Linked DNA regions of Cricetulus griseus. The protein of the gene in region 2 purifies or fractionates together with the protein of the main gene of each other region. This does not show direct contact. Links are inferred from orthologs where the notes say so. Each region holds a gene or a part of one and is shown on either strand. Other genes may lie near its edges. The genes, in order: Snrpa1 and Phf5a.

Region 1 (10,919 bases), on a different chromosome or scaffold from region 2:
CTCGCCCGCCGCGCTTCTCAGCTCGCAGCTTCCGGTTCGGCCCTATGTACACGTGGCGCTCACGGCCGCCGCGATCCTGGCCTATCGTGGCTCGACCTGTCTCGACGCTCGACCAATCACTGGGTGGGTGTGACTGGAGGGGCGGGGCTAGAGGACGCCCAGGCGGAAGCACGTCTGACTTTTAGGGGAGGAGCTCCAAACTCAGCTCAGCGCGGATAACCGATCTTGCGCTGATTGCCTACCAACCTTGTGCTTGATGCTGATTGGATACCAAGGACCAAGAGATTTAGAGCCTCTTGGGGATGAGATTTGCATCCCGCCCTTGTCACGGGGCCACTGAGGGTTGCAGCAAAGGTCCCCTCCACAAACTTGAAGAAAGCGACCTTAATACTCCAACTGACCCCAAATTATTTCTGAGGAACCACAATCCCACAAGGGATTAATGTAGTAGTGATTCCAACATGCTTAGACTCTAACTATGTGTCACATTACCAGTTTTTGTAATGCTGCCCAGCAACATATTAGGAAAGCAATAAAGGAGATTGCTAGAAGTTGAAATGGAACTGATGGAATCGAATTTCCAAAGTCTTAGGTTAATAGGATTAATAAGGCAACAACTGACAGGAGGTGGTGGCACATGCCTTTAATCCCAGCACTCAGGAGGCAGAGCAGGCAGATCTCTGTGAGTCAGAGGCGGGCCAGGTCTACAGTGCTAGTTCCAGGACAATCAAAGCTACACAGAGAAACCCTGTCTCAAGAAAGGAAGGAAGGAAGGGAGGGAGGGAGGGAGGAAGGAAGGGAGAGAGTAATAACTTTATCTAAGGTGTTTAAAAGCTGGACCTTTGGGAAATTATATGAGGTCAGTATGGAGTTCTCCAGGAAAAAGGAGACCAGGTTTATATGCACTCTCCTATGACATGACACAGCCAAAGGGCCCTGGCAGAATTTATATCATATTTTGAGGACTTTGAATCTCCAAAATGTCATTGCTTCATAAAATTAATCTGTCAAGTACCTTACTACAGTAATAAACTAATGCAGTGATTCCTATGGAAGGACTAGTGTTCATGGGACAGAGAGAAAAGCCTGAAATTGCTTTGCATTATCAGCCACTTTGAAAATGGACTTTACAAATCAGAAAATTGATGACTGGATATTATCAGTTAAGATATGAAGCTAGTCATCAATTTGTTGAATTAGTTTTATATTCTCAATAGTTTCCTCTTAGTGGTAAAAAAAATGACCACTGTGTGTAAAAATTTGGGGTGTTGATCATTGAGCCCCCTATGATCTACTTCTGAGCTAAACCCCAGTTTGAACCATCACTCTTTGCTTAAGGTGATTTTTCACTTGCTTAGGCTTTGTCATACAAATGCAAGGGAAACATCTGGTTAAGAGTGAGGAGGTTGCTTAATTTGCCTGTTTACCCAGTCCATTAATATCTGTAGTCATGATGATGAAATAAGTAGTAACATTTAGTTTCATTAGGGGAGGTAGAAAAAAATAAAAAAAAAAAAAAAACCCACCACCAACAAAATGCCAGGCATTGGTGATGCATGCCTTTAATCTCAGCACTCCGGAGGCAGAGGCAGGTGGATCTCTAAGTTCAAAGCCAGCCTGATCTATGGAGTGAGTTCCAGGAGAACCAGGGCAATACGGAGAAACCCTGTCTCAAAAAACAAACAGATGGTGGGGTGGATATGATCAAAGTACATGATACACATATATGAAACTGTCATAGTGAAATCTTTTCCACTTGGGATTTTGTAATATAAAATAGAAACTAGCAACAATTCATAAAGATAATGAATTAAAAATATACAAATTAGGAATGTATCTCAGTTTGGTTAAGTGCTTCCTTGCCTAGCATGTACAAAGTCTTGGGTTTAAAGCCCTGAACTGCACAAACTGAGTATAGTGGCAAATGCTTCTAATCCCAGCATTTGTGAGGCAGAGGTAAAAGAATCAGGAGTAAGGTCATCTTTGGTGTCATAGGAAGCCCACACTGGGCAATGTAAGACTGCTTCAAAAATCAAAACCATGGGAAATAGAGGCAGGTGGATCTCCATGAGTTCCAGTCAAGCCAGGGCTATATAGTTAGCCCTTCTCAAAAACCACAAAGCCAAATAAACAAACAACCCCCCCCCCCAATATAGCTTTGTTACTCTTGGGAACCACAGTGTGCATTTTGAATTGAGTGCATTGATTCTAAGCTTTTATTCCAGTTCCCTTACATCTCAGGTGTGTTGCTTTTGTCCCTTTCATCAAATGGTAGCTGTCTAGAACCCCACTTAATCCAGCACTTATATAGCTCAGGTGTTACTCGAAAAAATAGCACAACGGTGGATAGTAACAACTCCCACTACTGGTTATGTAGACTAAATACCTAGCTTTTTAACTTCTCAGTCCTGGTACTTCTTATAGTCAATTCCTTTAGGGTTAGGTAAATTTCCCCATCCACTGCATTTAGCCAGGTAGATTGCTTTGGTTAATGGCAACTAAGCAGAAGTGTTATCAGTTCTGAGTAGTTTAGCTAGTTGTCCAAGGAGAATTAGGCATAGAAAGCTAGCTACTCTAGTTGATCACAATGTCGCAAGATCTGCACAAGACTGGGCTCCTCAACATCCTACCACTGAGAGGGAGAGATGCTAATAGGGGCCTACCTGACCCCCTAGGGCTTCACTAATTAATGGCGGAGTAAGAAACATTTTCTTCAGTGGTGTAGCTATTGGTTAGGTGCCTATGTTCCCATAACCAACTCTAACTCACTAAGTCCAACACACAAAAAAGAAGTGGCTAACTTGGAAGAGGGAAATAATCCTAAGGACAAAGGAAGGTAACAGGTGTGTGTGTGTGTATGATTAAAATACATTATATACATGTATCGAAACCCATTGTTATATACAATTAATATAAGGCAATAAAAAACATTAAAAATAAAGAGCAGAGTCAAATATGCAAACCTGTAGATCATGTGGCAGTAGTGCTGGCATACTGCCAAAACTTGCTATTTTACAAGATAAGAAGCAACTACATAGGACTAAGGGTATGAGAAGCTTAAGAGCTCAGAGAAGGCAATAAAATGGCAGTTCTGTTCAAACATAAATCAGGCTCAGCCTCTTTCTGTGGACACTCTTTAAAAGAAGTGTCTTGCCTGCATATGCCTATACCATACACCTGCAGTGCTCATGGAGGCCAGAAGAGGGTGTTGGATCCCTGGAATTGTTCCAGAAGATTGTGAACTGCAGTGCTGGTGCTGAGAATCAAACCCAAGTCATTTTGAGAGCATCAAGTCTTCTAAAACACCACACACACACACACACACACACACACACACACACACACACACACACACACACTATGGAGATCAGTTCTATCATGTGGATCCAGTGATCAAGCTTCAGGTTAATCATTAATCAAGACTTATAATCATATCCATTAATTCAATTAGGTCAAGCCTCAAGACCAGGTCATTTACCAATTATATAGAAATGCTAGAGGAATAAATAATATTCAAGATCAGGTGTGGTGACACACCTGTAGTCTTAGCTGCTGGGAGGTGGTGGTGGTAGGATTAGGAGTTCCAGGCCAGTTTCAGCTCTGTGGCTAGTTGAAAGCCAGCCTGGGCTACGTGAGACATCATCTCAAATCAGTATCTTAACATAGTTCCACAGACCCATTCTTGCAGGTGTGGCATGACTATCAGTTGCTATACATTTCTGCTGTAACATGGACACTAGTAGCCTGAATGAAACTCATGGTCTATGAAACTATTCACTGAAAACCGTTAGGTTCTAGGGAAAATAGCATGTATTGAGGTGAACCTCATCAATGATTTGGGTCTTGAGACACACATATGGAAGAGGAAGCCTCACTTGCCTCTAGCCAGCTTAGTCCTTGATCAGGACAACGGCACATGATGCAATGGTGTGCTGGTTTTGCTTGTTTTCTTCCCACAACCTCAAATACTAAACACAGTTCTGTTCAGTCCAGATACACAGCAGCCTCCATCATTTTCAAATGCTGAAGTGCTGCCCAGGCCTGGGTTCCAAACTTAAGCTACATTTAATTAAAAAATTTGCAATTACAAGTTACCCCAGGCTGCTGGTGGTGCATGCCTTTATTCCCAGCGCTCAGAGGCAGAGATAGGCAGATCTCTATGAGTTCGAGGTCAGCCTAGTCTGTTTTACAGGACAGGCTCCAAAGCTATAGGGAAACCATGCCTTAAAAAACCGGAGGGGGAAAAAAAAAGAAAGAAAAAGAAAAAGGTACCCCAGGACACCAGCTTGTCATCACTGGGACTGTTGACCAAGTCTCATCCATAAAAAGGACTCAATGAAGCTATGGAAAATAGGAATTTGGCTTTTTATTTGGTGCTAGGGGTCTTGCAGTCTTAGCACGACTGCCATCAAGCCACAGACCCAGCCAAAAGAGGGAAGCACCTGTCTTAGCAGCAACAGGAGCTGGTACATGAACAGAAGGACTATGGGAGCAGTACAGCCAGCCTCACTGAGGATACTGCAAACCAGACTCCAATCCAACATGGGAGGAAACTAAATTTAAGTCTGGGGCTCAGCAGAAGCCACTGTTTGGCCAGTCACCCCAGCAAGACCATTGGGAGCAGTTCCACTGTATCTCAGGTATCTGGTATATGCCTCACAAGATCAGTTATCAGTCATCAATGAAAAGCATCTAGAGACTATTTAATATGCTTGTCATATTCAGAATTACCAAAGGAGCTTGGAAAACTGTAACCAGGGGCTGGGAAGATAGTTCAGTGGGCAAGAATGCTTGCTATGCAAGCTTGAGTACTTGTGTTCAAATCCCCACCACCCAGGTAAAAAGTGGTCTGTCCAAATGCATGCCCACAAGCCTTGTTGGGTGGAGACAAGGACTGTTGGAACTGGCTGGCAGACAGCCTCGTTCCAGGCTCAGAGAGAGACATTGCTCTCAAGGGAACAAGGCAGAATAGGAAATCAAGGCACTAATATTTAACCATAAAAGAAAACTCTTTCCTAGATGAGGAATATAATTAAGATAGCTAGATGCTAAGAGAAGTGTGCCCCACAGAGAAGCCACAACCCCAAGCCTCTGTCCCCACAGGCTGGAAGACTATTTTGCTTATGTTGTAGCATCAATTCCTACTTAGGATTTTTCAAATCATTTAAAATTTGTTAGATACTCCTGTGTGTTTAATTAAAAAGGTCAAAGGATATACCTATTTGTCTAGTCTTAAGCCTCCTTGTCTTTATAAAGAATCTGTAACACTTCATAGTCAGAAGTAATGTTTATTCAGAAACACCATCCTCCCTGTACTGGCTAGTTTTATGAGTCAACTTGACACAAGCTAGAGTCATCAGATAGGATACAGCCATGAGTTCCAGCTGTAAGGCATTTTCTCAGTAAGTGATCAATGGGGGAGGGCCCAGCCCAAGATGGGTGGTGCCATCCCTGGGCTGCTGGTCCTCCTGGGAAGCCAGTAAACAGCACCATGGCCTCTGCATCAGCTCCTGCCTCCAGATTCCTGCCCTGTTTGAATTCCTGTCCTGACTTCCTTCAATGATGGACAGTGATATGGAAGTGTAAGACAAACCCTTTTCTCCCCAACTTGCTTTATGGTCGTGGTGTTTCTTTGCAGCAATAGAAACCCTAACTAAGACACTCGCCAACGTCCATCTTAAATATATCCTTATACTTCACAGCTAACATAACAACAGATAATTTGGCAGCAAGAAAGTGGCCTTTATTTTACCATTTGTAGAAAACTGGCATTTAGATTCCAAGGTACATATTAAAAAAATTACCAGCAGTAGTTCTGAACATTCAGCAATGCTGACAAATTCCATGTTGCTGATACAAGCAAGGCTGTTACTCCATGCTCAAAAAGCAAGACTTGTCCCTAGACAGCCTATTAGACCATCTGCCACAGAGCTCAGGACCCATTTGTGACTGTGTCTTCTTCCAGCTCTTCTTCACCATCATCACTTGGCCCTGAAAAAAACCCACAAAACCAGAAGTCGTGTCAATTTTGTCCACTCATCAGACACATACACATTAATTTTTTAAAAAGGTGAACGAACACACCAACTGTTTTTAACTGTGTTCCACAATCTGTGGTAGCTTTTCTTTTCTTTCTTTCTTTCTTTCTTTCTTTCTTTCTTTCTTTCTTTCTTTTTTTTAAGATTTTTGGTTGCTGGGTGGTAGTAGCACACCTTCAATCCCACAACTCAGGAGGCAGAGTTGAGGCCAGCCTGGTCTACAGAGTGAGTCCCAAGACAGCCAGGGCTACATAGAGAAACCCTGCCTCAAAAAAACAAAACTATTTTTTTTTTTTTTTTGGCCAATGTATTCTTAAAAACAGAAACAAAACAAAAATGCCAGGTGTGGTAGCACACACCTTATACTCATTTCCCCGGAAATGTTCGTAAGTACTAGGAAGATGTCAACATTTTACCAGTGGACCTACATTGTCTTTCTAGTAATGGTGAAGCTTGAAGCCATGGTCTCATGTGTGTTAGGCAGTGTTCTACCAGACTTACATCCCCAGCCTAAATTTTCTAAACCTTAATTTTTGCTTAAAATCTGCAATTTTATCATTGGTAATAAACACTGTCAGCTGCGGGGGATTGCTCAGGCACTTAAATTTAGTTCTAAAGAAAACCATTTCTATTTCTTCATCAAGGACAGTGAGTGGATTTGATATGAATTTTACTGGAGAACACAGCAAGTACCATCACTGGACCTCCTTGCTGGAAAATAAAACCCGCTCTTGGCCTCCCAGTGCATCTTGGGAGTTATTACAGAAATAATTTACCTTGCATGTCCCCAGGGGCCCAAGGACCACATAACAGCACTGATCTTAAAAATACCTTATATCCTCTTCCTGAGGAGCTACTGGCAGTGAACAGCTGCTGAGGTAGGAAGTCACTTTCTTCAGTAGTGTAGTCACTGTAAGTTGCCCTTGCTCCAGTAAACACCCCTGCCCCATGTTAACGAAAGCAACCATGGCTAAACAAATGGGCCACAAAACTAACAAACAAAACAGCTCAAAGACAATGATCCTTGAAAAGCTGTCGTGGTAGTGATTCCCAGGGATACTCATACCAAAATTTGTACTATGTATTTACTTTATTTGAATAATGTACCTCTAATGCTCAAATTGCTGACAAACTTGGCATTCAAACATTACACTAGTTAACACCTACCCAAAACTTGCCCTGTGCTAAGTGTAATTATCACAATCCTCCCCCAAACCTTTTGATGTCAGTACTTATCTTAATATTAAAGATGCAAATACTCACCTAAGACAAAGAAACTTGCCCAAGGACAGTACTGCTTAGACTCAGTGTAGCCAGTTCCATTAACCACTAAATTACCACTAATTTACAGGGATCTCTGCTCCAGGAATTTTATCACTGGAGACTTCATTTGTGTGTGTGTGTGTGTGAAGATGAACATGAGAGCATACTTACACAAACTAGACGGTAAAAGCTATTAAACTACCTATCTGGTAAGACATTATAAACCTAGACAACGTGTCACTGTTCTCAATGTAGACAACTGTAAAACAAAGGTAAGTAGCTGTGCATCTACACATAGACAACATATAGTAAAAACACCAGGCAGAGCAATTTTTAAGCTGTTACTTTATGGGATGACTGTATATGGAATATCAGTTCACCAAGATGCCCATTATATAGGATGTGACTTAGAAGTTCACAATCATCTCTAGAACTTTGTTCTTTCCATGTTGTAGAATGTTTTGCTACAACTTGTAAAGACCTCATAAATATCCCAATGGCCTAACTTTATTGGCCCCCACTCCCTACTTCTTTCCTTCCTATTTTTCCTTTCCTCTTTTTTTTTTTTTTTTGAGAAAAGGGTTGCCTGTAGCCCAAGCTGGTCTCAACCTTATTTTGTAGCCAAGTATGACCTTCAACTCCTGATCCTCCTGCCTCATCCTCCCAAATATAGGGATTCCAGGCCTGTGTGATCATGCCAGACAGGTATTCCTCTGTAGTCATTCCAAGTGTGATGTTTTGGAAGTGCACACAGAATAGTTTTCTGACCTGATCTGCGCTCTCTGCCAGGTATCTGGCCGGACTGCAGCAAGCCCTTCAGCCTCTCAACCTCAGCCAGCGTTGATGCGTTTGCTATAGCATTCTGGAAAGCACAGGAAAAGGGAGATGGATGATTACAACCACCGAAAAGACACTACAGAAATTCCTAGCAACTTTCCCCTAGAAAATCAACCACACAACTGTCTGGGAGAAGAACTTCACTGGCGCAAGAAAAATCAACTTAGAAAACACGCCAACATTTAGGAAGGGATTCGGGCTCTTACAAAGGAGAAGAACCAATCATTCCAAGGGCCCTAAAATTCAAGTTAAGTATCTATTTGGAATTCTGTTACTGGAGACTTTTGGATTTTCTACAGATACTTCAACAGGATTTGTCAGCCAGCAAATCTTGGGAAGCAGAGAAACTAAGACTGAACAACAAAGTAACTAACTGCTCCAAGAAGTAAATGTATCCTGGGTGAAAGAGATAAACATAGATGCCTTCAATTAGTTCATGCAATTAGTTCAAGTCAAAATTTGGTCAAATAGTATCTTTAAGGTAGCCTTTCTGGGCCTAGAAATAGCAGAGTCCTCACAACTATGAGATAATGGGATCTACGATGTTTAGCACTAGGACACACCACTGCCCTGGCCCCACCTCTCTGCTCTCTCCAGTCTGATAACCCAAACATACATATCCTTACCTTGATTGCTTCTACATCCCCTGCAGATGGCCCACCTTTCTTTTTGTCAGTTGGCAAACCAGCACCTGGATTAAAACTTGGGAGGGAGAATATAATTGTTACACTCTGACTAGTGCAGGCTGCTTCTCTTACTTTCAAAAGATTTGAAAGTAATTCAACCAGTGTAGTATCTTATCTTTGTTAACAAACTGATACAAGCACTCTCTCCTTCAGAAACACCACCCAATCCATCTTCCAATAGAGAAAGCAGGATGAACACCACATTAAGATGGTAAACCGAAATATATGCTCTGCTAACCTGGTAGAAATTTCCCAAGATGTACACCATCATTCAAATGTAATACCACACTAACCAGTTTTGGGTTTAATTTTGTAGGAGGCAAACTGCCAGACAGATAGTGTTTCTGAAGGTGAAGTAGAGTTAAGTTGGATATCCGTATCTTACGTTTTGCTTCTCCTGGCAATATCCTTTGCAAGCTGTGCACCCCGTTTGCCCTTGAACATTTTCTCTGCTTCCTGACGCTCCTACAGCGACACCACACACAGAGTTAATCAAAAAAGGAATACCACATGCATTTAGATGCATTCCTTAGAAAACATGGGAGAGAATTCTCCTGAAGTATTCTGGGTTGGTAAAAACAAAAGCCAACTTTAAATTAGGAGACACAGTGGTCCAACCTTCTCGGGGAAAGCTCTCAAAAAGTACCCCTTCCTAATTTCTAAGAGGGACTAGCAAGGAACTACAGAGAATTAGCACTTCCAACAAAGGAACAGCTATTCTAAAAAGCAGAGCTGCTCAAATCTGGGTTATATATGCTCTTGTTGGGAACACATCTAAGTAGACAATGCACTGTGTAGTTCTAACATTAGGGCAACTTTTTTTTTGTTTTTGTTTTTTTGAGACAGGGTTTCTCTGTAGGTTTGGAGACTGTCCTGGTACTAGCTCTTGTAGACCAGGCTGGTCTTGAACTCACAGAGATCCTCCTGATGGGATTAAAGGTGTGCGCCACCAATGCCTGGTCACATTTGGCCAACTTTGAAATGGTCAACATCACCCTACCATAAACTGCTATGAGATGAAAACAAAACAAAAAAACCCACAAGAAAAAAAATAAACAATGGTGACTTAATGCTTTCTTTCCCACACATTAATGGTAAAATGTACTAATTAAGCAACTTGTAAAGACCAGTCATGAAAGGCTAAGGGAAAGGACTACTGTAATGACTCACAGCCAGTATGCAATACTCACTTTGAGTTTCACTTTTTGGAAGTCCAGAACTCTGACTTGTGGAACTTTGTAGATCACATAAAGTCGGTAATGCTTCTTATTTGTTACAGGATTTCTTAGGATGCTATAGAAAAGGGACAGTGCCAATCTTACTCACAGCATTCCACTTGAGAGGGTCATTTGAAAAGTGCAAAGACTATAAACCAAGAGAAAGCACACCATTCTTCCTACTTTACTGTTTAGTAGCAGCCTGATGCTGTTACTTCAGAACTTCATTAGTCGAGTTATCACAACAAGCGGATTTCCATACCTTAGATATGTTAGTGATTTGAGAGATGCCAAAGGATCCAGATCACCCTATAAAATAAGGGTCAGAGTAAAAACAAAGCTGATACACACACTACTATTCTGATATTCTGAAATAACAAGTATCTTTGAAACAGTATCCACACTATCATTTACTTATTTTTTTTCTGCCCTGGCACCTAGTCCAATACTAATACAACACAACTGCCTAAATATCTTCCACCTAATAAAACTGCTGAATATGTTAAGTATTGGCAGTAACAGCACCTGTTTCAATAGAAGAAAAAAAAATTGATTTCCCATAACAACCTCAAAATGGCTACTACTAAGCAATGATTTAAAAGGAAATTAATGCCAACATCGGTAACTTACTTGTATCAAGCTATTTACACAGGAACCTCAAGCCAAGACCTTGGTCTATATGTGGGTTTCTTGTTGTTTGAGACAGAATTTCCTATAGCTTAGGCTGGCCCTGAACTTGCTATGCAGCCTAGGATGATCTTCAATCCCGATCCTCCCAAATGTTGATATTATGGGTATATGCCGCCAAACCTGGTGCAAAATGTCCTTTCTTGTTAGTATATCCCAAATGGCCCCGGGAAACATTATCTTTGAGAGGG
Region 2 (12,059 bases):
CACACACACACACACGTAGGCAAAACACAATGCACATAAAATAAATTATTTCTTGCCACAGTTTTGCTACTAAGGCCAAGTACATAGATTCCTCAGGACGCAGATCTATGGCACTAAAGATCTACTTAACAATACATCTAAACATGTAGAAATACCCACTCCAGAAAACTGTCACATCAGTAGGCAGAAATGTATTGACCCATGGCTAAATTTTCCAGTTTTGAGTTTACTTACAAGGTACTTGTTAAGGCTGGTGAGACGACTCAGTGGTTAAGAGCTCTTATTGCTCTTGCAAAGGACCTCGGTTTGATTCTCAGCACCCACATGGTAGTTCACATTCATCTCTAACTCCAGGGGATAGGATGCCCTGAGCTCTGCAGGGACCGGGCAGAGTACTTATACAAACATACACAAAATCTTTAACATTTTTTAAAAGGAAACATCCCTTCATACAAATACATATGTATTTTATGAAACATCATTTTCTAATTTATTAATTTTATCATATTTTCCTCACCATTATTGTAGGATATCTCTTTGAAGTCAGAATTAGAAAACCCAGGTATGGTCACTCACATATGGAATGCCAGCACTCTGACTAAGGAGAATTACAACAATGTCCAGGTAGCCTGAGCTAATGAGACAAAAGGAACAAAAAAAAAAAAAAAGGTGGATAGGAACTAAAAATTAAAATTAAAATCAACTCCTTCACTCACAGTAAAAGGCATAGGTGGCCTCTGAGGTTTTTTTGTTTGTTTTTTAAGACAGGGTTTCTCTCTGTAGCTTTGGAGGCTGTACTGGAATGCTGTAGACCAGGCTGGCCTCAAACTCATAGAGATTTGCTTGCCTCTGCCTCCCAAGTGCTGGGATCAAAGGCGTGAGCCACCAATGCCCACTTGCCTCTGAATTTTTCCCAGTGTCAGAAATAGGACAAGGCACTTCCTCGACCCCACAGCCTCTATTATGGTTTCACTTACCAAATCCTGGAAGACTACAAAGTAGACTCTCAAAGGTGATGTGGAAGGCAACCAACCAACTACCAGAAAATACACACCAACTTTATTAGAACAACAGAAATTTCCAATTTCTAAGAAGGAAAATAACATGAAGCTAGCACCACCTGGGAAGTGTCACATCACATTACTGTTCTGATGGCTCCTGGCCACACTGAGGGTCACAGAAGACCACCACCATCATAGCTGCTGAAGGCCATGCTTTTGCCTGCGGCAGCTTCATTGTCAAGGCCGCAGACGGAAGACTCATTTCAAAGCTTTTGGTGTGGAGAGAATCTATCAATCTAGAGGGCAGAGCCTCGTTTTTCCAACTAGAACAAACAAACTATGAATTAAGCTAGCAATTTTTCTTCCAGTCTGCTAGAGTACTCTGTGAAGACCTCTCTTCCATCCCCACCAGAATGGTGAGGGAAAGACAGGGGCAGGGGGCCAAGACAGTAGCTCTAGCAGGCTATTCTGGTGACACGCTGGGCTTCGGTCCCTTTCTGCTGGTGGTAGTAGGTGTCTTTTCTGGCAGCTGCAGCAGCTTGATGGGGGAGAAGGAGCTGCTCACCCATCACCTCTTCTTGAAGCCATATTTTTTGCGTTCATAGAACAGGTCTGTCTTAGAGCTCCCCAAATTGACAATCTTTGGGCAACCGTCTCTCTGAAAAACAGAACCAAGTTGTTAAGTCCTTGAAATTGCCTTTAGAGATTTAAGATAAAATTTAGCTCAGGAGCATGAAAAGCATTACTTGTCACCTGAGAGCTTACAGCTTATAGACTGGGCTTGTGTCTAATCCTCAACATCTCACAACAAAAAAGAAATTTTAAAAGATCCCAACCAAGGGGTGGTGGCAACACACACTTTAATCCCAGCAGGAAGAGGGAGAAGCAGGTAGATCTCTGAGTTTGAGGCCAGCCTGGTCTATAGAGTGAGTTCCAGGATATCGACACAGGGAAACCTGTCTTGAAAAAAACCAAAACCAAAACCAAAACCAAAACTACCACCACCACCACCATATAATCAGTGTGGTTTTGCCCTATAAAACACCTCCATTTACTTAACTGGGGGAGGTACCCAAGATCACTCAGTGTCTTCTGTACTTTTTTTTGTTTTGTTTCTCGAGACAGGGTTTCTCTGTATTGCTTTGGAGGCTGTCCTGGAACTAGCTGTGTAGACCAGACTGGCCTCGAACTCACGGAGATCCACCAGCCTCTGCCTTCTGAGTGCTGGGATCAAAGGCCTGCACCATCATAGCCCAGCTTTTTATGAGTTTTCAGAACCATTTTTTAATTAAAAAAAAAGAAAACAATTTAAAATTGATTTAGTATGCATATATGTATGCATACTATGGTGTGAGCACAGAGACTGGAGGTTCGGAGTTCTGAGGCCTGGTTGTCAGGTTGGCAATAAAGGCCTGTACTTACTGGGCAGGCCTGCCAGCCCCTCAAAGACCATTTTATAGCTTTTGGGTTAATGTTCTATTCACCTTTCCAGTTATCCTAAATAAGATAAACTAAATGAGAATGGTAGAAATGGCAAGACAACAAATCAAAGAAATGTTTCTCAGCCTGAGAAATGACAGTGAAATGGTTAGAGGAAATGCATGGACTAGACCAAGCATCTCCCATCAGGACAATTCATACTGTCTTCTATCTCCAACATTAGAACGATCTGCAACTTACAGTACACTCCTAGCCAACATTATCGTATTCCTTAGTATTTAATTTCTCATTAGAAAACTGTGGGTTCGAAAGAGATGGCTCAGTGGACTGGCCGCTATTACAGGGAATCTGGACTGGGTTGTTCAACCCCTGTACTGCAAAAATAAATAAAAGTACATTTTATTTATTTATTGGTTTTTTGAGGCAGGGTTTCTCTGTGGCTTTGGAGGCTGTCCTGGAACTAGCTCTTGTAGACCAGGCTGGTCTCAAACTCACAGAGATCCACCTGCCTCTGCTCCCTCGTGCTGGGATTAAAGGTGTGTGCCACCACAGCCCGGCATAAAAATACATTTTAAACTCCATAAATGTAATTTTTCTTATTCTGTTTGGGATCTGGGAGATTTGCTTGCTGTCATATCATAACAATATACAAATTAGTCCTCCAGAACCAAGATTTAAAGATATTGGTGAGACCTGGTAGACTCAATGATTTGTAAGATAGTGTATCCCAGACTGGTTTTATTTTTATTTTTCGTTTTTCCAAGTCAGGTTTCTCCGTGTAGCCCTGGCCATCCTGGAACTCTGCATAGACCAGGCTGGACTCAAACTCAAAGAGACCCGAATCCCTCTGCCTCCCAAGCACAGGAATTAAAGGTGTGCACTACCACTGCCTGGCCCCAGACTGGCAATTCTCCTCCCTCAGCATACCAAGTGCTGGCATTACAGATATGCCCCACCATGCCTAACTCCTGATTCTTGATTATTTTTGAGGTTTTGAAAAAGTACAAATGAGGATACCCAGCTCAGCTTACTGGCCTAATTAACTGCCTTATAAATAATAAAAGCTACAGGAAGAGGAGAACAATGGGGGGGGGTGGCTTTTGCTGCAGGAAGATTTCTGCACAGGAAAATGCCTGGGCACCCCATCTACATGATCCTCTGTCTGTAAGGGTGAGAGGCTGGATCACGTCACAGGACTGCTTTGTGTCCCTTGGAAACTAGTGCTGAGTAATTGTGAGCTTGAGCTCAGGTGTCCTCAGAACGTTCCTGTATAATGGCAAGTAGGTGAAGTGATGTCCAAAATAATTCTCAGGGAGCAGAATGAGGGGCAGGGATCCAAAGGTATCAGATCACAGGGCGCATGCAGACAAGTGAGATGGCAATTACTGTTTAGCAAGCATCCTCTGGTTCCAAGCTTAAGTCAGAAACAGACTCTAGACATTTCTGAAAGCTCAAGAAAGTGTTGTCTCTTCAGGGACCCTTTAGCTTGAGAACTGTGTGTCCCTCCTCTTTCCATTACACCCAGTACTTCCCAGTTCCTAAATAACAAATGCCCAGGGTGGGGAGTGTCTCCCAGGAACACTTTATAGGCACAGTACCAAAAAGAGAGCACCATCCTTGTATTACAGATTAGGCACTATTACCAAGACCCGAGAAAAAGGAAAGATGGAGGACATAATCCACAGCTGTGGAAGACAGAATACAATCGAGTTCTGGTTGTCTAAAGAATTGGAAAGAGCATTTAGGGCAGGAGAATGTTCAAACCACCAACTGAAATTATGATTTCATACTTAATCAACAACATTCCCCTTTTCCCAAACAATAGTGGATTCAACAGAGTAAACAATACTTTTCAGCTGCTCTAAAACTCCATTCTGGGCCAAGCACCAATCTGGTTCTCTAAGAAGGACAGGGAAAAACAGTAAGCACATAAAAGTATTAGTGGGCCAAAATACTCACTAGTGTGTGTGTGTGTGTGTGGGACCAACTCCAGGCAAGCTGTCCTCTTAATACCACATGCACCCACACAAATAGATGTAACAAAGAAATTCAACCAAACCAAACACAACCAAACTCTGCAGCACTGAGAACAGTGAGGATATACCCAACAGGAATCATTTGTATGTCCTGTGGCATAAACTGCATGCAGGCAGTAAGAAAAGCCTGGAGCTCATCCATGGAGAAAAAGCTCTCAGTTGGGAACTCTAGCTAATGCCTAAATGTGGCTTCCCCAATCAATATCTGCTGGATGTGGTAAGACCCGATTTGAGATTTGATGATAAAGTCAATCAAAACTGAAAATGCAGCTATCATAGATCACCTTCCGCACCACGTAGAACAACCCCCCTCCCTCCTTAAAGCCCTATCTGGCTTCGGGTACTGGTGGTAGGTAGCATCCACATGTGGAGTGCTGAGGAGGCTGGGTGCTCTCTTCATCATGAGCACACACCAAGAAGGTCTTAGAGAAGCATAACATGATGTAATGTGGACACCAGATTTAGTCAGATAGCCTGGGACAGAGTATAAAAGGAGGATGATAATAACCTCTACCTACATGACTAGCTGAACATTGCAGTCTCCATAGACCAGAAGAGATGGACATGGATGGCAAAATGGTCCAAAGAAAAAGGAAGAAAGGCCAGGAGGGAATGCTCAAGTCTACACTCACATCCTTCTCCTGAATGGTGCATTCTTTACAATAGTAGGCATCGGAGACTCCGGGGCCTCCACAGATCACACACCGGCCCTGGTAAGATCCATAGTTACACTCATCACATATGCGAACCAGGGTGCAGGGTCGCACATAGGAGTCACAAATCACACATTTGCCATCACCTGCAAAGGAAGAGGAATGGAGTTATATTCACTAGTGATTACTTCCTAAAGATCTTTATTCTATGGGTGAAATAACCAGTCTCCCTTTGACTGTGACTTCAGGCCTTTTCTCTATCTTGACAGCATCCACCCTATCTTATATCTACCATCTACCTCAGTTTCCTTCAAAATATAAATGGGAAGAGTTTTGACGTGTTAGCTAGGAGCTTTTAAGTCTATGTAGTTATCATCAACAAATTGCATGCCTTCTTGCACAAACATTGGCCTGGGAAGGTTCACACTACTCTGATAGTTCTTACTGTCCAAAAGTATTTTTCCCCCACAACCTAAGTATGAAATATTAAAGTATGCAAGCTAAAGTGGGAGTCTGGTGGGGAGCCTTTGGTTGTAGTCAGAGATTCAGTGTTCTTTGCAGTCTGGCATATCCACTCAATGCTTCTTTAGGGCTCCTCTGGAATAAATGGCTTGTTGGCTCGTCAAAAAACAAAGAAAGAAGGCAATGTGTGAGAGGGTATGTTCCACTCACATTTTTCACACAGTCTTCCGATAGCTGCAAGAAAAAACACAGTTAAAATCAAAATGGTGATTTAGCAAGGAAGTTGTTCCTCAAAGCTGGGATAGAGGATGGGGCAGGTAGCAATGACTACAGTGAGCAGAATAGCTGTCTTATTATCCTTTTTTTTCCCCTCTCCACGCCCCTCCTCCCAACAGATTCCCGTTTTATAGCCTGGAACTTCTTATGTAGTTCAGGTCGGCCTCGAACCCCCAGCAATCTTCTGCCTTCAGCCTCCCAGGCGCTGGGATTACAGTCGTGAACTACCACGCCCGGCCTAAGCCCCTAAGTTTTGCTTTGCACCAGCGCCCTGTCCGGAATCCTCAAAGCAACCTGGGACGGCTTCTCCAGACCTAGCGCAGACGCTGCCCCCAGTTTCAGGCTCCCAGACGCGCGATCCTGCCTTCTTATCACAAGTCACAAACCTGGGCGCACCCCCAGAATACCCAGGGACCGCAAGGCGCGAAACGTGGAGCCCCCAAGGCCAGGCCCTAAAGAGGAAGCGAACCCCCCACTCTCCCGTTTCTAACACCATCCCACTCCAACGGAAGGGAGCGGCGAGCCAACTCACCAACACCAGCCTGCTTGCGGCAGAAAATCAAATCTGGATGGTGTTTAGCCATCACTCGTCCCCAAGCCGGCGGCCGGAAGCTTAGAGAACTTCCGCTCGACCTTTAACCTACGCCGTTCCTACACCCACTTCTCCATCGTGATTGGCCGTCAAGGTGCCCATCAGCTTTTGCCCTTCGTTGCACCAAATCTCGCTAGTTCTCGCGAGTTTTCTCAGCGTGAACTTGCTGGACCCCTAGCAGGTGCATCAAAGACTTTATAATAAAGTTTTTGTTCCCTCCCGATTTGAACGAATAAACTAAGTGTTTTTGTCTTGGATAAAATTCCTACATATGGCTGGTTGGTGGTAGCACACGCCTTTAGTCCCAGCACTCGGGAGGCGGATCTCTGAGTTCGAGGCCAGCCAGACCTGTCTCGCAAAAAACTTTTGTACACATGGTACTTTTTGTGCTCGGGGCTGAGGCCAGGGCCTCACGCATGCTTCCGCAAAATATGTGGTCTGGGGGTTCCCTTTTGAGTCTCAAGGCGTGAAGGATGACCTTGAACTCCTGGCTCCGCTGCCGTCTCCGTCCCCAAGTGCAAAGACTGACAAGCTGGCAGTTTCTTTCTCGCGCTGTGCCCGTCATGGAAGCCCCGCCCACTGCGCTCTCTGGACTCCGGCTCCGAGGAGGAAGGCCCCACCCTCACCGTGACGCGCCGCTTTGGAGGCCACGCCCCTTCCCAAGCACTTCAAAAGCGCCCTGTGGCACGTCACTTTCACGCGACCTCATCTTTGTCAGTGCACAAAATGGCGCCTTACAGCCTCCTGGTGACCCGGCTGCAGGTGAGCGAGCTCCGATGTGTGGGTTCACGGGGGCGGGGAGCTCTGCCTGCGGCGGTAGGCGAGGCCACGCGAGGCGGGCTCAACCTGGGGCTGACTTTTGCGAACCTGTCCCGGTTGCAGGCCCAGCGTCCTTGTCCGCTCCTGCCTTGTCCTAGGTCAAGGTGTCCCTGGCACAGTCAGTTCCCAGGCCCAGTCCCCGTCCCCGCCCAGCGGGAAGCTTGAGTCTAAGCATCCGCAGTGTGATAAAGGATGAGGGCACCCCTCATTTCCTGAGGGCCGAATTGCCCGCTCCCCCCAGTGTGGTTTTCTGTTCTCAAGGTGATGACAAGGTTACTGGGGGGCGCGGTGGTTGTGGGTTCCTCTAAGCCAGGTGCTTGAAGCCCTCACTTCCCATTAACAGCAGAGATTTGCCAGCCGTTTGTATGTGTGGTTCTCGGGCCTGGAGTCTGCAGAAGCTATACCCAATACTACCTTTTGAGGACACCTGGGGTCATAGATGCAAGAAGGGTAGAGTATTCTGAGCACCAGTATAGTCCATAGTCATGATAACAGTGGTTCCTCTCTGCACCAGATGTCAAGACTGTTCACTAATATAACCTGATTTACATATTTCTGGCAACATAGATGTCAGATGATTTTTTTCCAACTCAATAGATAGTAAAACTGCAAAAAAGTAGATGAAAGTTCTGACTTTCACGGTGTCACGATAGTGCTATAGCTTGAGCAGTGACCCTGCTGACCCTCTGTTCTCCTTGTTCATGGCAACCTAATGTCAGAACTGTCTGAACCAGGGTGTGGTCGTTTGTAGTTGTCAGAGTACAAAGTATTTCAAATTCACAGTTGCTTTTCAGATACTAGGTGGAAAGATGAGAAGACCCAACAGTTTGACCTTGACTCTACTGTTACGAGACATCTAGAAAGTTAAGTGTGACTGACAGAGGGCTTTTCACTCCCAACTTGACAACTGTGTGTGTGTGTGTGTGTGTGTGTGTGTGTGTGTGTGTGTGTATTTTTTTTTTTTTTTTTTTTTTTGGTTTTCTGAGACAGGGTTTCTCTGTGTAGCTTTGGAGCCTGGCTTTGAACTCACAGAGATCCGCCTGCCTCTGCCTCCTAAGTGCTGGGATCAAAGGCATGCACCACCAATGACCGGCGGGAAGGTATAATATTAAGTTTACTGTAAAGTATGTATTTTGTCAATAAAAATAAAGCAATAAAGTACCTGTAGACATTTTCTGGTAACCTTTTATCATTGATTACTTTTGTGAATCTTCTTTGGACCAAGTGGCACAACTTTTAATGTAGAATTAATTTTAGAAAGTTTTGTGGCGCAGGCCTTTGATCCCAGTACTTGGGAGGTAGAGGCAGGCAGATCTCTGTGAGTTCGAGACCAACCTGGTTTACAGAGTGAATTCCAGGACAGACTCCAAAGTTACAGAGAAACCCTGTCTCAAAAAAAGAAAAACCAAACAAACAAAAAGTTATGTGCTGTATTCTCAGGAAGCATTATCATTCAATGTTATTTTTTGTCACATTACTTAAAATCAAAGTGTAATATAGCTGAGTGGTGGTTGTGCACGCCTTTGATCCCAGCACTCGGGAGGCAGAGGCAGAAGATTTCTGTGAGTTAGAGGCCAGCCTGGTCTACAAGAGCTAGTTCCAGGACAGCCTCCAAAGCCACAGAGAAACCCTGTCTCGAAAAACAAAAACAAACAAAAAAAAGTGTAAAATAAAACTCTTCATTTATCTGAACAAATCATTTGAATTTTGACTTAGGCAAAGGATTTATAGCTAAATTATCTCTGCGGTTCTTTTGATTCTTTAGATAATATGGAGAGTTTTGTCCCGACCCTGTTGACCTTTGATTTAGTGGAGCCAGAAAAAGATCATTAAATAGAATAAATGACTTTTGACTTTGGAAGAAAAGTATAATGTCACATTTGGAAAGTATGAGTGTAGAAAGATATCTGGGGTATAGTTCAGGTCCTGCCCTGATCCCATGACCTTGTAAATGTAACTTTCTATTGAGGGACCAAAAATTCAAATTAATAAAAATTTAAAAACTTAGGTCCTGAAAAGGGAACATCTGATGATAAAGGAAAATTTAACTCCTTAAATCAAGAGTGCCATGACTGGCACCTGATTCCCAGCTCTCAGAAAAGGAGAGGTAACTATTCACCATTCCTGTTAACATTCCTTTGCTAATTGCTGGTCATAAAAATCCCCCAGCCCAGGGGATAACTGACAGACCCTGTGACTCTGTAACCCTGCAAGCCCATGCCCTGTCTTATTCACTCAAATGTATCTCCCTTAAAATGTATAGTTACTGACTAACTCTGTACTTTGTATGACCTTAAGTAACCCTGGAAACTCTGTAATTTGTGGCCTTCAACCTTATGGTCTGCCCCTTTAAAAGCTTCTCTTTTTAGCTGGTTGGGATCTCATTTGCCTGCCATGCAGTGAGATCCTAGCTGGCCAGCTTGAAATAAAAAGAAACCTTTTACTTTGCATCATAGTGCCAACTCCTTGGGTTAGTCTCTGGGCTCCGAGAACCTGGCACAACACTATGTTCTTTGTCTATCAGCTGGGATTGGTCTTCATTAAACAAATGTTTATTGAGCACTTAATTATGAGGAATTAGAATGTGTTCACAATGATGTACTTCAACCTCTTTTACACTTGGTGACGAATCTAAGACCTTGAGGGCAGGGTTGACTGCTGGAGGTAGGATTAAAATAAAAGTCCCTCTCATATTCATTCAGCTAAGGTGAATGAGTAGTAGTAAGGTCTTTGCAATATACTACTGCACTCAGATAGCCAGACTGTCTCTAATTCCTCGTGACTCTGTACTCTGAGAACATCTTTCAACTATGCTTGCATGCATTTGAGAAGTGATGGTTAATACTTTGGTAGCTATGTCTGGTCAATCTCTAGCATGTTTTTCTTCTTGTCTTGTTTTGGTCCTGTTTTTGAGACTGGTTCTTACTGTGTTCTGTTGCTGGCCTTGAACTTTCAATTCTCCTGCCTTAGCCTCCTGTGTGCTTGGAGTACAGGCACATGCCACCATGGCCAGAAAAATTGGTAAAAAGACAGCCCCAGTTTTTTTGTTTTTGTTTTTTTCCAAGTGCATTTTTTTGTTAGTTTGTCTTTTTTGTTTTTTCAACACAGGGTTTCTCTGTGGCTTTGGAGGCTGTTCTGGAACTAGCTCTTGTAGACCAGGCTGGTCTTGAACTCACAGAGATCCGCCTGCCTCTGCCTCCCAAGTGCTGGGACTAAAGGTGTTCCGACACCACCGCCCGGCTTCCCAGTGCATTTAAAGTTTTATTATTTTATGTTAATGTGTATGGTTGTTTTGTCTGCGTGTATGTATATGTACCATGTACATATGTGCAGTGTTCACAGAACCCAGAAGAGAGAATCAGATCCCTCTTGAACTGGAGTTAGAGATGGTTGTGAGCCATTTTGTGGGTGCTGGAAGCCAAACCTGGGTCTTCTGAAAGAGCAATCTTAACCATTGAGTCACCTTGCTAGTCTCCAGTTCCTGTTCTTGTGGAATGTTTACCATATTCTAATGTACCCTTAGATTTTTCTCAGCCTGAATATTTATGCATCTTCTTTTGGCTGGACCAAACATGAAGGAAGGTTACAGAATTGGTTAGTATCACTCCTGCCATTAATGCTAGCATTTACCTTACTAAGTAATTGCTTGTGACTCTGGGATAAGGCAGACCAGTGAACGGTAGTGTTTCAGGTGAAGAAACAGAAAGGAAATACACCATAAAGGCTAATATCATGTATTCATGCATCAAAATGTTTCGGTTTAAATCCTGGCTTATTGCTAAGTAACTGATATTCAGCAAGCTACTCCATCTCTCTGTACCTGTTTCCTCATCTTTTATTTATTTATTTATTTTGTTCTTTTGAGACATGGTTTCTCTGTCTATCTTTGGAGCCTATCTGGAACTCATTCTTTTAGACCATTAGACCAGGCTGGTCTCGAACACTCAGAGATCCTCCTGCCTCTGCCTCCTGAGTGCTAGGATTAAAGGCATGCACCACCACCACCTGGCATCCTCATCTTTTAAATACCATAATATATCTATTTTAATCAAGTAACAGTTGTAAAGTGTTCAAACCCCTATCTGACACCAGTCAGAGTTCTGTATACTCATTAAAATAATTAAATGCTTACCTTTTTATTTTATTTTATTTTATTTTGGGGGATTCGAGACAGGGTTTCTCTGTAGCTTTAAGGTTGTCTTTGAACTATGTAGACCAGGCTGGCCTCAAATTCACAGAGATCCTCCTGCCTCTGCGTACCAAGTGCTGGGATTAGAGGTGTGTGCCACCATGCCCATCCCACCCCATCGATAAATGCTTAATTTATCACTACTTTTTGGTATATATAATGTGATTTGGATCTGCAAATTCCTGATTCCAAAACCTGAGGGCAGCAACTGGCAGTGTACTGCTTCCCTTTGGCAGTGAAACTTTGCCTTGCATCAGAACACCATGGCTCTATAACCTAAGACCAGTGCGAAATTAAACACATTCTATTGTTTTTGTAGTACTTGCTACCAGGTAGAAAGAAAAAAAAAAAAAAGAATGAAGAAAATAGAGGGTGATAGGCTGGAGAGATGGCTCAGTGGTTGAGAGCATGGACTGCTTTTCCAGAGGACCCAGCTTCAATTCCCATCCCCCACATAACAGCTCACAACTGCCTATAACTCCAGGATTGGACACTTTCACGTAGACATACATGCAGGCAAAATAGCAATATACATAAAATAAAAATAAATTAGTTAAGTAAAAGAAAGAAAATAGAGGGTGAGTTTTGTTT

What was found.
Region 1: the proteins of Phf5a (region 2) and Snrpa1 purify together in Homo sapiens (affinity purification with mass spectrometry; 4 studies listed by BioGRID and IntAct, with this or other methods). This does not show direct contact. The link is inferred for Cricetulus griseus from reciprocal best matches to the Homo sapiens genes PHF5A and SNRPA1.

The regions. Positions count from the first base shown.
Region 1 is NC_048596.1:131,198,511-131,209,429, forward strand, and holds the end of Snrpa1 (U2 small nuclear ribonucleoprotein A'), read right to left. Parts: intron 10,351-10,919; coding exon 10,304-10,350; intron 10,118-10,303; coding exon 10,015-10,117; intron 9,290-10,014; coding exon 9,210-9,289; intron 8,841-9,209; coding exon 8,765-8,840; intron 8,164-8,764; coding exon 8,070-8,163; intron 5,992-8,069; coding exon 5,933-5,991; 3' UTR 5,719-5,932; downstream 1-5,718. UniProt on the Homo sapiens protein: Involved in pre-mRNA splicing as component of the spliceosome. Associated with sn-RNP U2, where it contributes to the binding of stem loop IV of U2 snRNA.
Region 2 is NC_048595.1:379,002,676-379,014,734, forward strand, and holds Phf5a (PHD finger-like domain-containing protein 5A), read right to left. Parts: upstream 6,543-12,059; 5' UTR 6,453-6,542; coding exon 6,401-6,452; intron 5,827-6,400; coding exon 5,803-5,826; intron 5,277-5,802; coding exon 5,110-5,276; intron 1,660-5,109; coding exon 1,570-1,659; 3' UTR 1,038-1,569; downstream 1-1,037. Other genes in the region: Aco2 (aconitate hydratase, mitochondrial), read left to right, coding at 7,187-7,222.